2 linked regions of the Notamacropus eugenii genome follow. The protein of the gene in region 1 purifies or fractionates together with the protein of each later gene. This does not show direct contact. Links are inferred from orthologs where the notes say so. Each region holds a gene or a part of one and is shown in the gene's direction. Other genes may lie near its edges.

What was found. The genes of interacting proteins can lie anywhere in the genome.
Region 2: the proteins of WDR24 (region 1) and NPRL3 purify together in Homo sapiens (affinity purification with western blotting; 6 studies listed by BioGRID and IntAct, with this or other methods). This does not show direct contact. The link is inferred for Notamacropus eugenii from reciprocal best matches to the Homo sapiens genes WDR24 and NPRL3.

What each region holds. Positions count from the first base shown.
Region 1 is NC_092872.1:53,677,569-53,685,547, forward strand, and holds the start of WDR24 (GATOR2 complex protein WDR24), read left to right. Parts: upstream 1-4,928; 5' UTR 4,929-5,065; coding exon 5,066-5,546; intron 5,547-7,979. UniProt on the Homo sapiens protein: Catalytic component of the GATOR2 complex, a multiprotein complex that acts as an activator of the amino acid-sensing branch of the mTORC1 signaling pathway. The GATOR2 complex indirectly activates mTORC1 through the inhibition of the GATOR1 subcomplex.
Region 2 is NC_092872.1:55,081,776-55,089,672, forward strand, and holds the start of NPRL3 (GATOR1 complex protein NPRL3), read left to right. Parts: upstream 1-4,887; 5' UTR 4,888-5,306; coding exon 5,307-5,424; intron 5,425-7,897. UniProt on the Homo sapiens protein: As a component of the GATOR1 complex functions as an inhibitor of the amino acid-sensing branch of the mTORC1 pathway.

The sequences.
Region 1 (7,979 bases):
GTGTGATTTTGGACAAACTCACTCCCCCACTTTGGGCTTCATTTTCCTTATATGTAGAATAAGGCTTTTGGACTAGATATTTTCCAAGCTCTGACATTCTGCAAATTTGTTTTGTGTCTAGTTCTGGGCACCATATTTTAGGGAGAACATTGAGTAGTTGGAGTATTTCCAGAAGAAGGTGACAAGGTGAAGACATTAATGGAAATTACACATTATGAGGACTGGCTGAAGGACCTGAGTGAGGATAATAGGGGGTAAAAAGGACTTAGGGGCATTACCATAGCTGTCTTCAAATCTTTGAAGGGCTTTTCTGTGGAAGAGGGATCATATTTGCTCTGTCTGACCCCAGACAGAATGGTTATAAGTTACAGAGGCTGAGTTATAAGGGAAATTTCCTCGAAATTAGCTGCCCAAAAATGAAATTGGTTCTTTGAGATAGAAGCAAATCTCCCATTACTTCAAGGTCTTCCAAGGATGTTGCAGAGAGGATTCTTGTGCAGGTACAAGATAGGTCACCCTTGAGCTTCAGGCCCCTTCTGACTGACTAACCAAATGTTCTACAATTCTAGTTAAATGACGTACTCAAGGTTATGTAGTAGTGTAACCAAGACTAGAATATAGGTTTCCTGACTCATCATATATTGCTTTTTCCACTATCACACCCACTCTGGGCTCACTCCAGGGGTATGCTGACTCCTGAGAGCCAATTGTTAAATTTTTAGTACCCGTAAGCATCTACACCTCAGAAATCAGCAGACTTTATATAACTGGACTTGATCTATTGTTTTGTTGATTGTCTGTACCAGGGATTGGCAAACTATAGCCTGAGGATCCAATATGGCCCACTTCTTGTTTTTATATGGCCTTTGAACTTAGAATGGTTTTTAGATTTTTAAATACAATAAAATTTTATTTTAAAATGTAAAAGTCATTCTTAACTCAGGCAGTACAGAAACAGGTAATGGATTTGGTCCAAAAGTAATGGGGGAAATGTTAAAAAGGCAGATTAAACTTATCCCATTTTCAGAATCTGTTGCTAAACATATAACAGCATATCCCTGGTCACTCCCCCCGTATTCGCTGGTACTGTCTGGTTGGGTCCCCAGAGCAGCAGCTATTACTACTTCTAGAATTCTAGGAGTAATTCTGTGGGTGACTATCCTTAAAACATGAGCTCAGGAGTCCCCACTAGTGTGATTTTCCCTAACAATCATCCAATAGACTCAGTTCATTAGCAAAAGAATTTACTCAAATGGCACAGCAAGAATAGTGTTTCTCCAAAAACCTGGGGTATACTCTCCTACAAATATTCACAGAGTCCATGGGGGAAAGAGTGGTCATGGATTGACAAATGATAGTGAGGCCTATCTGGAGAAAACACATGTAGCCAAGGCAATTCAGAACTGCAGATCCTCATCTTTTCTTCTAAAACCTAAAGGTTTTCATGGAGTTTGCTGTGAGACCTAACATCAATGATGGATGAATTGTTCTACTGCTCAGCTGCGTCAGTTTCTTGCAGGGTGTGGCATGTCGGCTGGATGGGCCAGGCAGTTTGCCCCACCATTGGGCCCTGAGTAGGCTCTTCTGGGAATGGTGGAAGGGTTTATCTGCTGGACATCACTCTTTGATGGACAGCTACAATATATCACCACCTTCAGTCACTGGCTCAGTTGGATGATACTGCATTTGCTTCAGCTGGAGTGTTCGATGCTTTTTTAGCTGTAGTTCTATTGTGCTCTTTCAGTTGAGACAACTTCCCATAGCCTAGAAGTGGCAGAAGATTCTCCTTTTTCTCGTGAGGCAACTGGAGCTAAGTGATTTGCCCAGGGTCACACAGCTAGTAAGCATCAAGTGTCAGAGGCTGGATTTGAACTCTTGACTCCAGGGCCATTGCTCTATGTACCGTACCACTTAGTGCACCAAGATTCTCCATTTTTTTTACTTCCTTGGAACCTCAGTTATGAGGTTGGTCACCTCTAGGAAGGAAGTAGGAAAGGAGATTCTAATTTCTCCTGTTCCTGATTCAAAGCCACTCAGTATTCCACCTTGGCTCACAACAATCAATCCCAATTCAGTTACACTTCCCAGACTTCTTCTGAAGTGACTAACAGCAAAGATAAAAATGTGACATTTGCCTATCTTGACCATTAATTTCTTTTGCCGGTCTTTTCACAGACAATTTAGCTATTTAAGACTTTGACCCTTCCTAAGGTATCAATATTTGATTTTGCATTCAAAGGCCTTCCCCTTTATATTCCAGTATTTCTATTCCTTTGCCTCTTAAGACCTTCAGCTTTTTCTAAAGTATCTAGGGTCAGCCCATCACTCTCCCATGTTGTCTCAAGAGTTTACCATCTAAGGGCTGTGTTGGGTTTCCCATGTGGAATCCTTCACCCACGCCATTGATGCTGCCCTCTCTGTGATCCACAGCCCAGGAGACAGAAAGGAGCTTCCTTTGGGGGAAAGAGCTGCCCCAGAATTTCTCAAAGGATGACCAGGAATGGATGATTAGGGAAATAACCAGAATGGACAGAAGGTTCCCTACAGTACAGTAACTACCCATGGAGTTCACAAAAGAGCTAAGGAAGAAGCAGACTCAGGACTAGGGAGAGAGAAAAGATAAGACCATTGGACTAAAAATCAAGACCTAAATCTAAGGGTAGAGTTGTGCAAAAAAAAAAAAAATGAACAAAAGAAAGGTCTTTGAAACATGTTTTTCAAATGCATAGAGAACGGGACAGCTAGAAAGAATCACAGACAAGTAGGACAGCTTTGAAAGTAACATGTTGAATTTATTACACCCTTAAAGAGATAAACAACCTGTATGTAATGGAGACTCAATACAACCCTCTTTTTATGCTCAGTTCAGAATTGAAGAAAAAAATTTAACTTAAAAATATGTCTCCCATAAATTCCTCTTATTCTCTCTAGTTGTATCCTCTTAGGGAAAGTGGAGCAAGTTTAAGAGAGAGCCTTTTAAATACTTGAAGAGAATTATTATGTTCCTCTGTCTTCTATTTTCTAGGCTATCTGTGCTTCCTTCAGTCACGCATCTCCACATAGCCTGGCATCCAATTCCTTCATCATCTTAGTCACTCTCCTCTGGCCACATTCTTCTAGCTTGTTGATGCCCCAGATACAAATTTGTGATATCCAGAAATGGACAAATTACTTGAGATGTGTTCTAACTGTGACATAACAAAGCAACATGCTTTCTAAAATCATAGGATCTAGAAGTGGAAGGGCTCTCATAGGTCATCTAATTCAGCCCCCTCATCTTACACATGAGGACACTGAGGATGAGAGATATAAAGTGACTTGCCCATGGTCAAAGAGACATCAGAGTTAGGGTTCCAATATAAGCCTTCTAATTCCAAATCCAGCACTCTTGCCACTCTAGAGAAACCCAAGACCCAATGTCCATTGGTTTGTGACTCTCCCCTCATTGGAGAAGATCAGTGATCTAGTCTTATGCAAGGGGCCTGGGCAGAGATAGTGAGAGAGGAAGAGAGGAGAGGCTTGTTCTTTTCAAGTCTCTTCAGGTATCTTTGGGTTTCCAGCTTAGATAGACAGATGAATGAGACCAACCTCACTTCAGGTAGGTGGCAGGAAAAAAGGATTTTTAAAAGCAAAACTCTAGGAAGAAGCTGGCATTGAGAGGAACTGACAGTCTCTATCATGTCTCTATCTCCAGCTTGCTACACTAAAGACTAAAGGAGGGAAAATTTCCCTCAGATGAGATCTAGGGTACTCTTTTTCAATGGAGCTGTTATCTTACTCCCAATGGGAGAGCTCCTTCACTCGTATTACCCATTATATATGCATACATATGTGCATACATACATATACGTACATACACACCGCACACATATGTATATAATTTATATACACACAGATATACTTTTTCTGACTTCCGTCTGCCTACAGAATTGGATAGGCGGGCTTCTTGGCCAGCGCTGCGTGTTCATCGTGGAACTGGTGCATGGCGGAGAGGGGTCAAGGCCTGGACACAAAGCCTGGGGTCCCGCGGCTCCCCCCAGCGATGGACGACCTGCAGCTGAGAACCCCGTCTTGCAGACTAAGGGAGGAGGCAGGGCGGCCCAGCTCCGGGCCTCCGGCTCCATCTTCTCCTCTGGCCAGGCGTTAGGACCCCCTTGGAGGAAGGGTGGGGGGAGGGGCTGCAGACGTCAGCTCGGCCCCACGCTGCATGCGGGGGCCCACCGTGCCACGTCCCCCGCGGACTCGTGCCCAGGTCCTCTCCTCTGAGCCCTTTCTCTGGATTTCACCGTGTACTCGGGCGGCTGGGCTTGAGCCCGGCATGGGGGGAGGCGGACCCCCGAGGGGCCCTCTGAGGACCCAGGCCCGCGTCGGAGCCCGGAGGGATCTTAAGGCGGAGAGCCTGAGGACACGGAGCCGGGCCCGGCAGGGCCGGAAGTGACCCTTAGAACATGAAACACCGGATGTCAGAGATGGAAAGGACCTAAGGGATCGGAGGGGAAACTGAGGCCCAGGCAGTGGCAGGTCGACAGCGGTCCAAGGGGAAGCATTCGGACTGGCTTCCGAGGACTCCTGCGGCTGGGGCGGACCTGGGGCCGCCACCTGGGCTGTGCCTGGACCGTGGGCCCCTCCTCCCGCCCTTCCTCCGCGGTATCCCCGCCTCCCAGTCTCCCCGAGCCGGAACGCTTATCTCCGGCCCGCGGTGGCGGCGACGGCGACTCCTTGGGGAGGGACCACTTCCGGTGCCAGGCCTCTCGCCGGGGCTCCATCACTTCCGCTGGGGCGCTGGGACGGGCGGAGCCGGTTGGGTGAGTGAGGGGTCGGGGGCCCCGCTGGGCCGCGCCAGCCTCCTCTTCTCTCCCCTCCCCTCCGCTGTGGGTCCGCTCCATCGCAGCCCTCAGCCCAGGCCCCCGCCCTCGGGCCCCCCCTCTCGTGGCCGGAGAGCAGCCGCCTCGCGGGCCGCTTCCCCCTTCGCCCCCCGGGGCCCCCGCTCCCCATGACACCCTCGGACGTGCCTGACCCAGGCGGAGGGCTCACGGCCGGGGCACCCGTCGGGAGCTGAGCCCGCATGGAGAAGATGGCCCGCGTCACCACGGCCCTGGGGGGCAACACCCTGACGGGCCGCACCATGTACTGCCACCTGGACGCCCCGGCCAACGCCATCAGCGTGTGCCGGGACGCCGCCCAGGTGGTGGTGGCCGGCCGCAACATCTTCAAGATCTACGCCATCGAGGAGGAGCAGTTCGTGGAGAAGCTGAACCTGCGCGTGGGCCGCAAGCCCTCGCTCAACTTCAGCTGCGCCGACGTGGTGTGGCACCAGATGGACGAGAACCTGCTGGCCACGGCGGCCACCAACGGCGTGGTGGTCACCTGGAACCTGGGCAAGCCGTCGCGCAACAAGCAGGACCAGCTGTTCACCGAGCACAAGCGCACGGTCAACAAGGTGTGCTTCCACCCCACCGAGGCCTACATGCTGCTCAGCGGCTCCCAGGACGGCTACATGAAGTGCTTCGACCTGCGCAAGAAGGACTCGGTCAGCACCTTCTCGGGTGAGAGCGGGCCCCCTGCTGAGTGGGTCTGCCGGGAGGATCGGATAGGATCGCGAACAGGAAGAGCCCCTGCCTTCGGGGATCGTAGCAGGGAGATGAAAGTACACGCAGATGCGTCTAGTGCCTTGTAATAAAAACCTTCCGCTTGTCTCTTTTTTACCAAGCCCTTTTCCCAGTCATCCCCGGAGGTGGTGTAAGGATCATGTTGGAGGCAGTGTTTGACAGATGGCTGAGGCACCCAAGGGTACATAGCCCCTCGTCTCTCCAGCATTCCAAGTCTGCTGTCTGTACTCCTCCATCCAGGTCCCTTTCATTTACACCAGGTTGCCCTGTCAACTCTGGTTTCCTTGCAGGCCCTACCAAGGCTTCTGGCGGGCCTTGCCAAACTAGAAGGAGTATGAGTACAGCTCCAACTATATACTTTTATTAACTAAAGTTCAGCTTAGTGCAAAAGAGGCCCATCACCTGGAGAGTCTGGGTATTTTGCCATAGCAACTTTTGAAGGACTGAAGAAGTATGTAAATGCTATGAGATAAAAAGAGAATAATCACTTCTAAATGAGAAAACAGGGAATCCTTCTCATAGATGACAGCATTTGAGCTGCTTCTTGAAGGCCCCACAGGTAAGAGAGGGGTGAAGGAAGGTATGAGCAGAAACCATAGGTTGAAGAATTTACCTAACTTTGTTGACGAAGTCCTTTTTTGCATTTTTAGTTGAATTTTTCCTTTAAAACCTAGCCTCAGGTCCTGACCACCTCAGCTCATAGTAACCTCTCCATCCTGTGCTACATTCTATACTACTCAGGAATCTCGTGAAACTTGTTGATGTAATTCTCTTTTCCATGTATTAGAAATCTTGTATCTCCCGTCAGACTATAATATGTTGTGTTTTTTTCTACCCTGCTCAAAAGGGAGGTGGTGTAGATAGAGTGCTTGATGTGGAATTAGGAAGACCTATGTTCAAATCCTGCCTCTGACACTTTGAAACTCTGTGTACATGGGTAAGTCACTTAATCTCTCTGAGCTTCTCTTCCTTATCTATAAAACAGGGATAATAATACTTGGCCTACTTGGCTCACAGGGCCAAGCATTATAATGTATGTGGAGTACTTTGCAAAGTGCTAGTTAAATGTCCCTTGTTAATAATAAAACTTAAATTTATGTAGTACTTTTCCATCTATAAAGGGCTTTTACATGCACTTCCGTTTGATTCTAAGCTACTTGTTTAGGTATATAATGATAATAATGATAAGTCACATTTATGTATGACTTTATAGTTTATAAAGTGCTTTTCTCACAGCAATCTTACAAGATAGTATCATCACCATTTCACAGATGAGGCTCCTGAGGCCCAGAGAACAGTGATTTGCACTGTTGGTCGGTGGCCGATTTGAGATTTTGAGACTCTCAACTCTCAAGTCTATGGAGGTAGCTTCATAACCAAGCTATAAAGACAGGAGAAGAAATGATCCCTGTCCTTGCAAAGTGCACATTGAAGTTTAAAGGCCATGCCCACTTGTTTCTTCAAAACTAGGTACAAATGGGTCTAGAATAGATAGAAGTAGTATTACTCTGGAACCTCCTCTCTGTGGCATGATTCTTGGTATCTGTCCTTCAGCTGTGACAATGCCATATAGCAAGGGCCTTCATACTTCAATAACTGAACTCTGTGAGGGGCCAAGGGAAAAGTACATGATACTGGATCTTACTAAGAACTAGAGTAAATGATATTGGGGACAATGGCTGTTATAGGTAGAACTTCCGTAAGTAAAGGAATGTTTGAAATGTTTGTGCCTAGATAAGGATTCTGAGAAGGCAGCATAGAAATCACCCTGTGACTTCTTTAGGTACCAGGTGGTAAAGATTCTTGGACCTGTCATGGTTGTAGACGTAACTCATTCTCCATTCCACTTGGAGAGGAGAGTTTGAATGCTTAACCAGTAGCTAAGACAAGGCTATTCTCTAACTCCTGATCTGGTCTGACATATGTTTGGAACCTATTTGCCACTCCTCCTTCTTACTCTGCCCACTCCCACCCCACTTCTGTAGGGTGGGAATAAGAACCCTCCTCCTTTCCTCTTGTCTCTGAAAGCACTTGGAGATCATAAGTGGGTCATGCTTTAAATGCTTCTTCCGAAAAGCTCTGCGATGTTTGAGGGCTGTTGGGGTAACTGTTAGTTAGCTCTGTGGTCTTGGTTTGAGTTTTTAGCTGAAGTGAAAGCAAGTAGGAGGTCTTGGGGGGTGAGGGGAAAGCTGGTGTCTAGGTAGGGCTGCCTCACCTTGGCGGAAGGAAGGTCCTTTTTTAATGTAATTTTTAAATTAATAAGCATTTATTTTCTCTTCCCTCCCCCCAGGAAATCCTTATAACAAATATGTTGATAAGCAAAACAGATTTCCACATTGGCAATGTCCAAAAATATTTGTCTCATTCTGC
Region 2 (7,897 bases), about 1.4 Mb from region 1:
AAGTATTTTGCTTCTGACTACTGACTCCCCCAATCCACCATCTTCTATCAGGTGCCCACCCTTTCTCTTATCCCTTTCCTCTCCTACTTTCCTGTAGAGTAAGATGGACTTCTATACCCAGCTGAGTGTGTATGTTATTCCCTCTTGAGCCAATTCCAATGAGTGTAAGGTTCAATTGCTCCCCTAAATCTGCCCTATCTTTCCCTCTACTGTAAAAGCTTTTTTCAGTATCTTTTATGTGAGATAACTTCCCAATTCTACCTATCCTTTTCCCCTTCTTCCAATGCATTTCTCTTTCTCACCCATTAACTTTATTTTTTTAGATATCATCCCATCATATTCAACTTATACTGCACTCTTTGTCTATGTATATTCCTTCTAACTACCCTAATAATCATTATTTGTTTCATTGTTTTCTACTGACCTACCATCATGTTAACAATCATTGTCAAGCTGGACTAAGAAAGATGGCAGATTGGAACAATTTTATTGTTTTGTTACTGATGTTGATGTATGGGGGCTTGCTCAGCTCTTTCTAATGAAACCTAGAGACCGAATCAACCCCCAAAATAGTATAATGATTTGGGGGTTTTGCCCAGTACTACAGATAACAGTAAACGATCAAACAACTGACTGATCTGTCAAAATGGTTGAAAGAGTTAGACCAACTCTTTCTTTTTTAAAAATTTAATTAATTTGTTTTCAGTTTCCAACAATCACTTCCATAAGTTTTAAATTTTCTCCCTCTCCCTGCTTCCTCCCCGAGATGGCATGAAATCTTTTTTTTTTTAATTTTTATTTATTTATTTATTTTAAATTTAACTTTTAACATTCATTTTCACAAAATTTTGGGTTCCAAATTTTCTCCCCTTTTGTCCCCTCCCCTCACCCCAAAACACCAAGCATTCTAATTGCCCCTATCACCAATCTGCCCTCTCTTCTATCATCCCTCTCTGCCCTTGTCTCCAACTTCTCTTTTGTCCTGTAGGGCCAAATAACTTTCTATACCACTTTACCTGTATTTCTTGTTTCCTAGTAGCAAGAACAGTACTCGACAGTTGTTCCTAAAACTTTGAGTTCCAACTTCTCTTCCTCCCTCCCTCCCCACCCCTTCCCTTTGGAAGGCAAGCAATTCAATATAGGCCATATCTGTGTAGTTTTGCAAATGACTTCCATAATAGTCGTGTTGTAGAAGACTAACTATATTTCCCTCCATCCTATCCTGTCCCCCATTACTTCTATTCTCTCTTTTGATCCTGTCCCTCCCCATGAGTGTTGACCTCAAATTGCTCCCTCCTCCCAATGCTCTCCCTTCCATCATCCCCCCCACCCTGCTTATCCCCTTCTCCCCCACTTTCCTGTATTGTAAGATAGGTTTTCATACCAAAATGAGTGTGCATTTTATTCCTTCCTTTAGTGGAATGTGATGAGAGTAAACTTCATGTTTTTCTCTCACCTCCCCTCTTTTTCCCTCCACTAAAAAGTCTTTTGCTTGCCTCTTTTATGAGAGATAATTTGCCCCATTCCATTTCTCCCTTTCTCCTACCAATATATTTCTCACTGCTTGATTTCATTTTTTTAAGATATGATCCCATCCTCTTCAATTCACTCTGTGCACTCTGTCTCTATGTGTGTGTGCGTGTGCATGTGCATGTGTGTGTGTGTAATCCCACCCACTACCCAGATACTGAAAAGTTTCAAGAGTTACAAATATTGTCTTTCCACGTAGGAATGTAAATAGTTCAACTTTAGTAAGTCCCTTATGACTTCTCTTTACTGTTAATCCTTTCATGCTTCTCTTCATTCTTGTGTTTGAAAGTCAAATTTTCTTTTCAGCTCTGGTCTTTTCATCAAGAATGCTTGAAAGTCCTCTATTTCATTGAAAGACCAATTTTTCCCCTGAAGTATTATACTCAGTTTTGCTGGGTAGGTGATTCTTGGTTTTAGTCCTAGTTCCTTTGACTTCTGGAATATCCTATTCCATGCCCTTCGATCCCTTAATGTAGAAGCTGCTAGATCTTGTGTTATCCTGATTGTATTTCCACAGTACTTGAATTGTTTCTTTCTAGCTGCTTGCAATATTTTCTCCTTGACCTGGGAACTCTGGAATTTGGCCACAATATTCCTAGGAGTTTCTCTTTTTGGATCTCTTTCAGGTGGTGTTCTGTGGATTCCTTGAATACTTATTTTGCCCTCTGGTTCTAAAATCTCAGGGCAGTTTTCCTTGATAATTTCATGAAAGATAACATCTAGGCTCTTTTTTTGATCATGGCTTTCAGGTAGTCCCATAATTTTTAAATTGTCACTCCTGGATCTATTTTCCAGGTCAGTTGTTTTTCCAATGAGATATTTCACATTATCTTCCATTTTTTTCATTCTTTTGGTTTTGTTTTGTGATTTCTTGGTTTCTCATAAAGTCATTGGCCTCCATCTGTTCCATTCTAATTTTTAAAGAACTATTTTCTTCAGTGAGCTTTTGAGCCTCCTTTTCCATTTGGCTAATTCTGCTTTTGAAAGCATTCTTCTCCTCATTGGCTTTTTGAACCTCTTTTGCCAGTTGAGTTAGCCTATTTTTCAAGGTGTTATTTTCTTCAGCATTTTTTTTGGTCTCTTTTAGCAGGGTGTGGACCTGCTTTTCATGCTTTACTTGCATCTCTCTCATTTCTCTTCCCAGTTTTTCCTCCATCTCTCTAACTTGATTTTCAAAATCCTTTTTGAGCTCTTCCATGGCCTGAGCCCATTGGGTGGGCTGGGATACAGAAGCCTTGACTTCTGTGTCTTTCCCTGATGGTAAGCATTGTTCTTCCTCATCAGAAAGGAAGGGAGGAATTATCTGTTCACCAAGAAAGTAACCTTCTATGGTCTTATTTTTTTTCCCTTTTCGGGGCATTTTCCCAGACAGTGACTTGACTTCTGAGTATTCTCTTCACACCCACTTAGCCTCCAGATCCGCCCAGCCAGCACTTGGGGTCTGAGATTCAAATGCTGCTTCCCAGCTTCAGGGCTTTTGGTGGGGGCAGGGCTGCTATTCAATGTGAGATTAAGTGCAGGTGCTCAGGTGGGGGCAGGGACATCTCACGGGGCTCAGTTCCCTCAGGGGGTTTATGCAGAGACCTTCAACAATGGATCCAGGCTCCTGCCTGCTTGGGGAGCCCCGGTCTGCTCCCACCTCCGCTGCTGCCTCCTGAGAGGGCCTGAGTTATGGGGGGGACCCCACTCCCCTCTCGGCAAACTGAGAAGACCCTCTCACCAACCTTTGGGGCCCGTGGGTGGAGGGACCTGCGCGGCAGCTGGAGATTCCATTCCTGAAGCCCACTAGAATCTGCTCTTCTTGGTGCCGCACGGCCAAGGCAAGGCTAGGCTCGGCTCCGGGTCCGGGATGCAACAGACCTTTTGCAAGAGGTTTTCAGGGCTCTCTGGAACAGAAATCTCCTCTGCTCTGTTGCTCTGTGGCTTCTGCTGCTCCAGAATTTGTTGGGAATTCTTTTTTACAGATATTTTATGGGCTGTGGGTTCAGAGCTAGCGTATGTGTGTCTTTCTACTCCGCCATCTTGGCTCCGCCCCCCCCCCCCCATGGCATGCAATCTTGTGTGGGTTCTACACTTACATTAGACCAACTATTTCACTATTAGGGCATTTTAAGGCACACAAAATATCAGTTGGCTAGTTGTTTGCCAAAAAACTTGTAAACTATTAAAAAAAAAAAGTTCATGAGAGGAGGCTGGAAAGGTAGAGCCACATTATCAAGGCTCCTGAATTTCCTACTATGAAATCTGAATTTATTTATTAGGCAATACAATTCCTTGAAAGGATTTTGAAGCCAGTATCAGACTGCAGGGACAGATGGCCAGAAATCTATTGGGAGGCCACTGCGGTAACAGGACGTGTGTTAAGGTGGTAGTCGTGGAAAGGGGTAATAAGAACACACACTTAGAAGTGGCAGGCATTTAAGAGGTCGCCTGGCTCACCCTCCCATTTCACAGGTGAGGTGACTTACTTGTGGTTACACCTCATTTCAACCCAGGTCTTCTGGCTCAAAGTCCAGCACGCTTTCTCCAGCACATCGCAGTGAGAAACTTAGGAATGCCTTTGAATGACCCCGCCGGCCCGGAGAGAAGGTGCTTCTCCAGGTGATGACCAAGGGCGCAGGGTCCAGCGCTCTGGGGGCTGGGGGCTTTCCATTGCACAGACCACACTGAAGCAGGCTTCCAGGGGGCCCCTCCAACGCGATCCCCCGCTTCCTTCATGACCCAGCAAACCATTCCACCTTCCGCAAGCTTTTCCTGCCCCCCCCCCCCCATGGTGGTGCCTTTCCTGGACGAAATCTCCAATTTATCCTGATTATAGCCTATTATCTGTGGGGTAGTTCGCATGCTACCCCCCGCTGGGAGCTCCCCGAGGGCAGGCAATGTCTTTCCCCCCAGCCCTCAGCACCCGGCTCATCGAATGCTTCCACGTGGGCCGCTACCTAGACCGGCCCCCCTCGTCTTCCAGACGCCGACAATAGGGCCCAGAGAGCGGAAGCCCATCCCAATGCGGAGCTCTTTCTACTCCACCGCGGGGTCTCTGCTGGGGGCTGGTTGTGGCCTTGCTGGGGTGGGGGTGGAGGGATGCATTTTTTAGGGAGCCGAGCAGCTCAAAAGGGGAGCGGGAGACCCCCCAAAACACAAACACAGCCAGGCTTTAAGGGTCACTTCCGGTCGCCTGCGCAGACTCTCGCCGACGAGCCACTGCGCAAGCGCGGGACTCGGCCCCCTCCGGCGGGAGGAGCGGCGTTGCTAGGGCAACCGCTCGAGGCCTACGGAAGCCTCGCGAGACTAGTTGGAGGTGAGAGGCAATTCCGGACGTGACTCCCGGGCCCCGGGTGAGGGCAAGTTGACATTTCCGTCTCCTGCGGCCTCCGAGGTTCCCGGGCCCAAGATTACGTCTTTCCCGAGAGGCTCCGTTACTCGCCCTCCGCTCTGAGTCCCTCCTCTCCACCGACCCCTCCTCAGCGCCCCAAGTGCCCCTCAAGCCTTCGGGCCCGGCCTCGTTCCCTCCCGCCCCCTCCGCCTTAGGAGCCCCTGTGCCCGAAGCCCCGCGCTCCCAGGCCTCCTGCGTCGGCCTGCTCCAAGCCTCCGCTCTTCTACCCTCCAAGCCCCGGGCCCCACCCCAGCTCACACCGAACCCCCGACCTCCCCCTTCCATCGCCCTCAAGCTCCACCCCTCCCTCCCCCGAATTCCTAGCCCCAAGGAGGCCTGGTTCTGGTCCAGCCCAGAGCGCACCTTCCGGTCCCTCCTCCAAACGCCCCCAGCTCGGTCCAGGATGGGGGACAACACCAGCCCCATCAGTGTGATCCTGGTCAGTTCAGGGAGCAGGGGCAATAAGTTACTGTTCAGGTACCCATTTCAGAGAAGCCAGGAACACCCTGCGTCCCAGACAAGTAAGTGCGCCCGTGGTGGCGGTGTGGGATGGGGCTCCCGGGCCGCTGGGGACGGGGCCCCAGGTCTGCCCTTCCCAGCCTTGGCTGCGAGCACCGAAGAACCTCGGTGGTTTGTGTAGGGACTGAACAGCGAGCCCCCTGGGGTGAAAACAGGGTATCTGGCGTCTCTGAGACTCCTCCGAGGGGCAGACCACCCAGGAATTAAAAGTGACTGACGTCATTGTGATCGTCCTCCAAGTGAAGCTCGTGTCTCTCCCTCTTTCTTTTAAAGGTTACAGATAAATAATATTTTTCAGCCTGAACCACAAAGCAATGAAAAAATTTAAAAAAGTTACTTTTGTTCTCTGGAAAACTTTCTAACCCTCATGTATTGGTCTTAAAAAAACTTTTATTGGTGATTCTTTTTGAAGAAAATGTATTTTTCTTCATATTCCACATTGTGACAGGCAGTTTGTTTAATGGTCACAGATCATAGAGCCTGATATTCCAAATGATGATAATAAATAAGCTTCCTTTCTAAATGAATTCCATACTTATTTCAGAGAAGACTGTTCATGAGTGATTCTTAGTCATGTATTGAAAAGTTTTGAGAATGAAAAAGTTTCTAAATTGATTGAAGTCTAAAAACTACATTTCAGTAACTGGTACAGTGAGAAGAACACTGGCTTTGGATGAAGTCAGAGAGCCTGGGTTTAAATCACAGCTCTGATAGATAACAACATATGTGACTTTGGGCAGATCCCTTAACCACCACCAGTGCCTCAATTTCCTCATCTGTGATGGTAGGGGGTCTAAAACTAGATAGGTCTAGAGCAGTAGCATCAAACTCAAATAGAAAAGGGGGCCATTAAATTGTACATAAGGATGCCTAGGAAAATCTCGTATTAACTTTTTATTTTGTTAAATATTTCCCAGTTACATGTTAATAGGTTAGGACCACATGCAGGACTGTGGCAGTGGCAGGTCAAGTGTTTTGACACCTCTGGTTTAGAGACTAAATGGCCTCTGAGGTCTTTTCCAAATCTGAAATTCTATCATATGTCTTGTGGATTTTTCCCTTTGTTTGGTTGTTTCTGTCGTGTCCAATTCTCCATGACCCCATTTGGGGTTTTCTTGGCAGGAATACTGGGGCAGTTTGCCATTTTCTTCTCCAGCTCATTTTACAGATGAGAAAACTGAGGCCAGCAGCTGAAGTGACTTGTCCAGAGTCACATAGCTTGTAATTGTCTTGAGTCCAGATTTGAACTCAGGAAGATAAGGCTTTCTGACTCCAAGTGTGGCACTCTGTTCTCTGTGTGCCTAGCTTGCCCCCATTTCTTGCGTAAGAAAACATTTTTTTGGAAAAGTCTCAGTAGTTAGCTGAGTGTTGTATTTCTACTTTGTAATATTAGAATTTTCTTCAAAGAATGTTTTAAAAATTAATATGCTATTATGAAATTGTCAGAGTTTTCATAATCAACTGTACTTTCCACTGTGGGAAAACATTTTATTCAACTTACCAACTCAACATGCCATTTCTTTCTAGAACTATTCTTGTGTTCTGATAATTGTATGGATTTGTAATATCATTGATATGGATGCTCTCTCCCATAAGCAGATCTTAATCTTTCCGGGCTGCTTATCCTGTGAGGTTCTTAGCTATGTCCTCTCATAAATCTACCATAGGGGATTCACCCATTGTGCTCTGCACCTTCCTCTAGTTCTGGTCATTAGTTCTTAGGATCAGAGATTTAGAGTTGAAAGGGATGCTAGTGCCATCTAATCCAAACCCATCATTTTATAGATGACAAAGCTGAGTCCAGGAGAGGGAAAGTGACTTGGTCAAAGTCACATGGGTTGGAAGCCAGGATTTGAACACGTATTTGTTCTTTTGTACTCCTTGCCCTTAGGATATGTAAGCTGTGGAATGGCATCACCTATATAGGTCCAAGCACTGCATTTAAGAACTTCCTGTTGATTTTGTTTTACTGCTTACTTAACTCTATGAGTTTAGCCACATGTTAAAAACTATTTTATTTGAATCTTTTATTTTTACACCACCTTTCCCACATATTTTCCTCCCCTCTCATATCCTCCTACTCAGATAGCCATCCCATAGAACAGACAATTTTTTTAAAAACTAGTTTAACAACACATCAACTAAGTGCAATGTTCCACATCCATTGTCTTTCACTTCTGTGAAGAGAAGCTTGTCCACTTTTGTTGGTAACATGAAAGTAGGTAAGTAGCTAGTAAGTGTCTGAGGCTGGAATTGAATGTAAGTCTTTCTGATTCCGGGCCCAGCACTATCTACTGCACCACCATCTACTAAGATACAAAGCACTATTTTAGAGGGTATGGAGGATTTAAAATATATATATTTTATATATGTGGGAGGATATAGGGCAGGATGTGACTCCTGCCCTAAGGAGCTTTCATTCAACCTGGGATCATCATACTAATTATGCAGCATCAATGTTGTATGTATAATGTA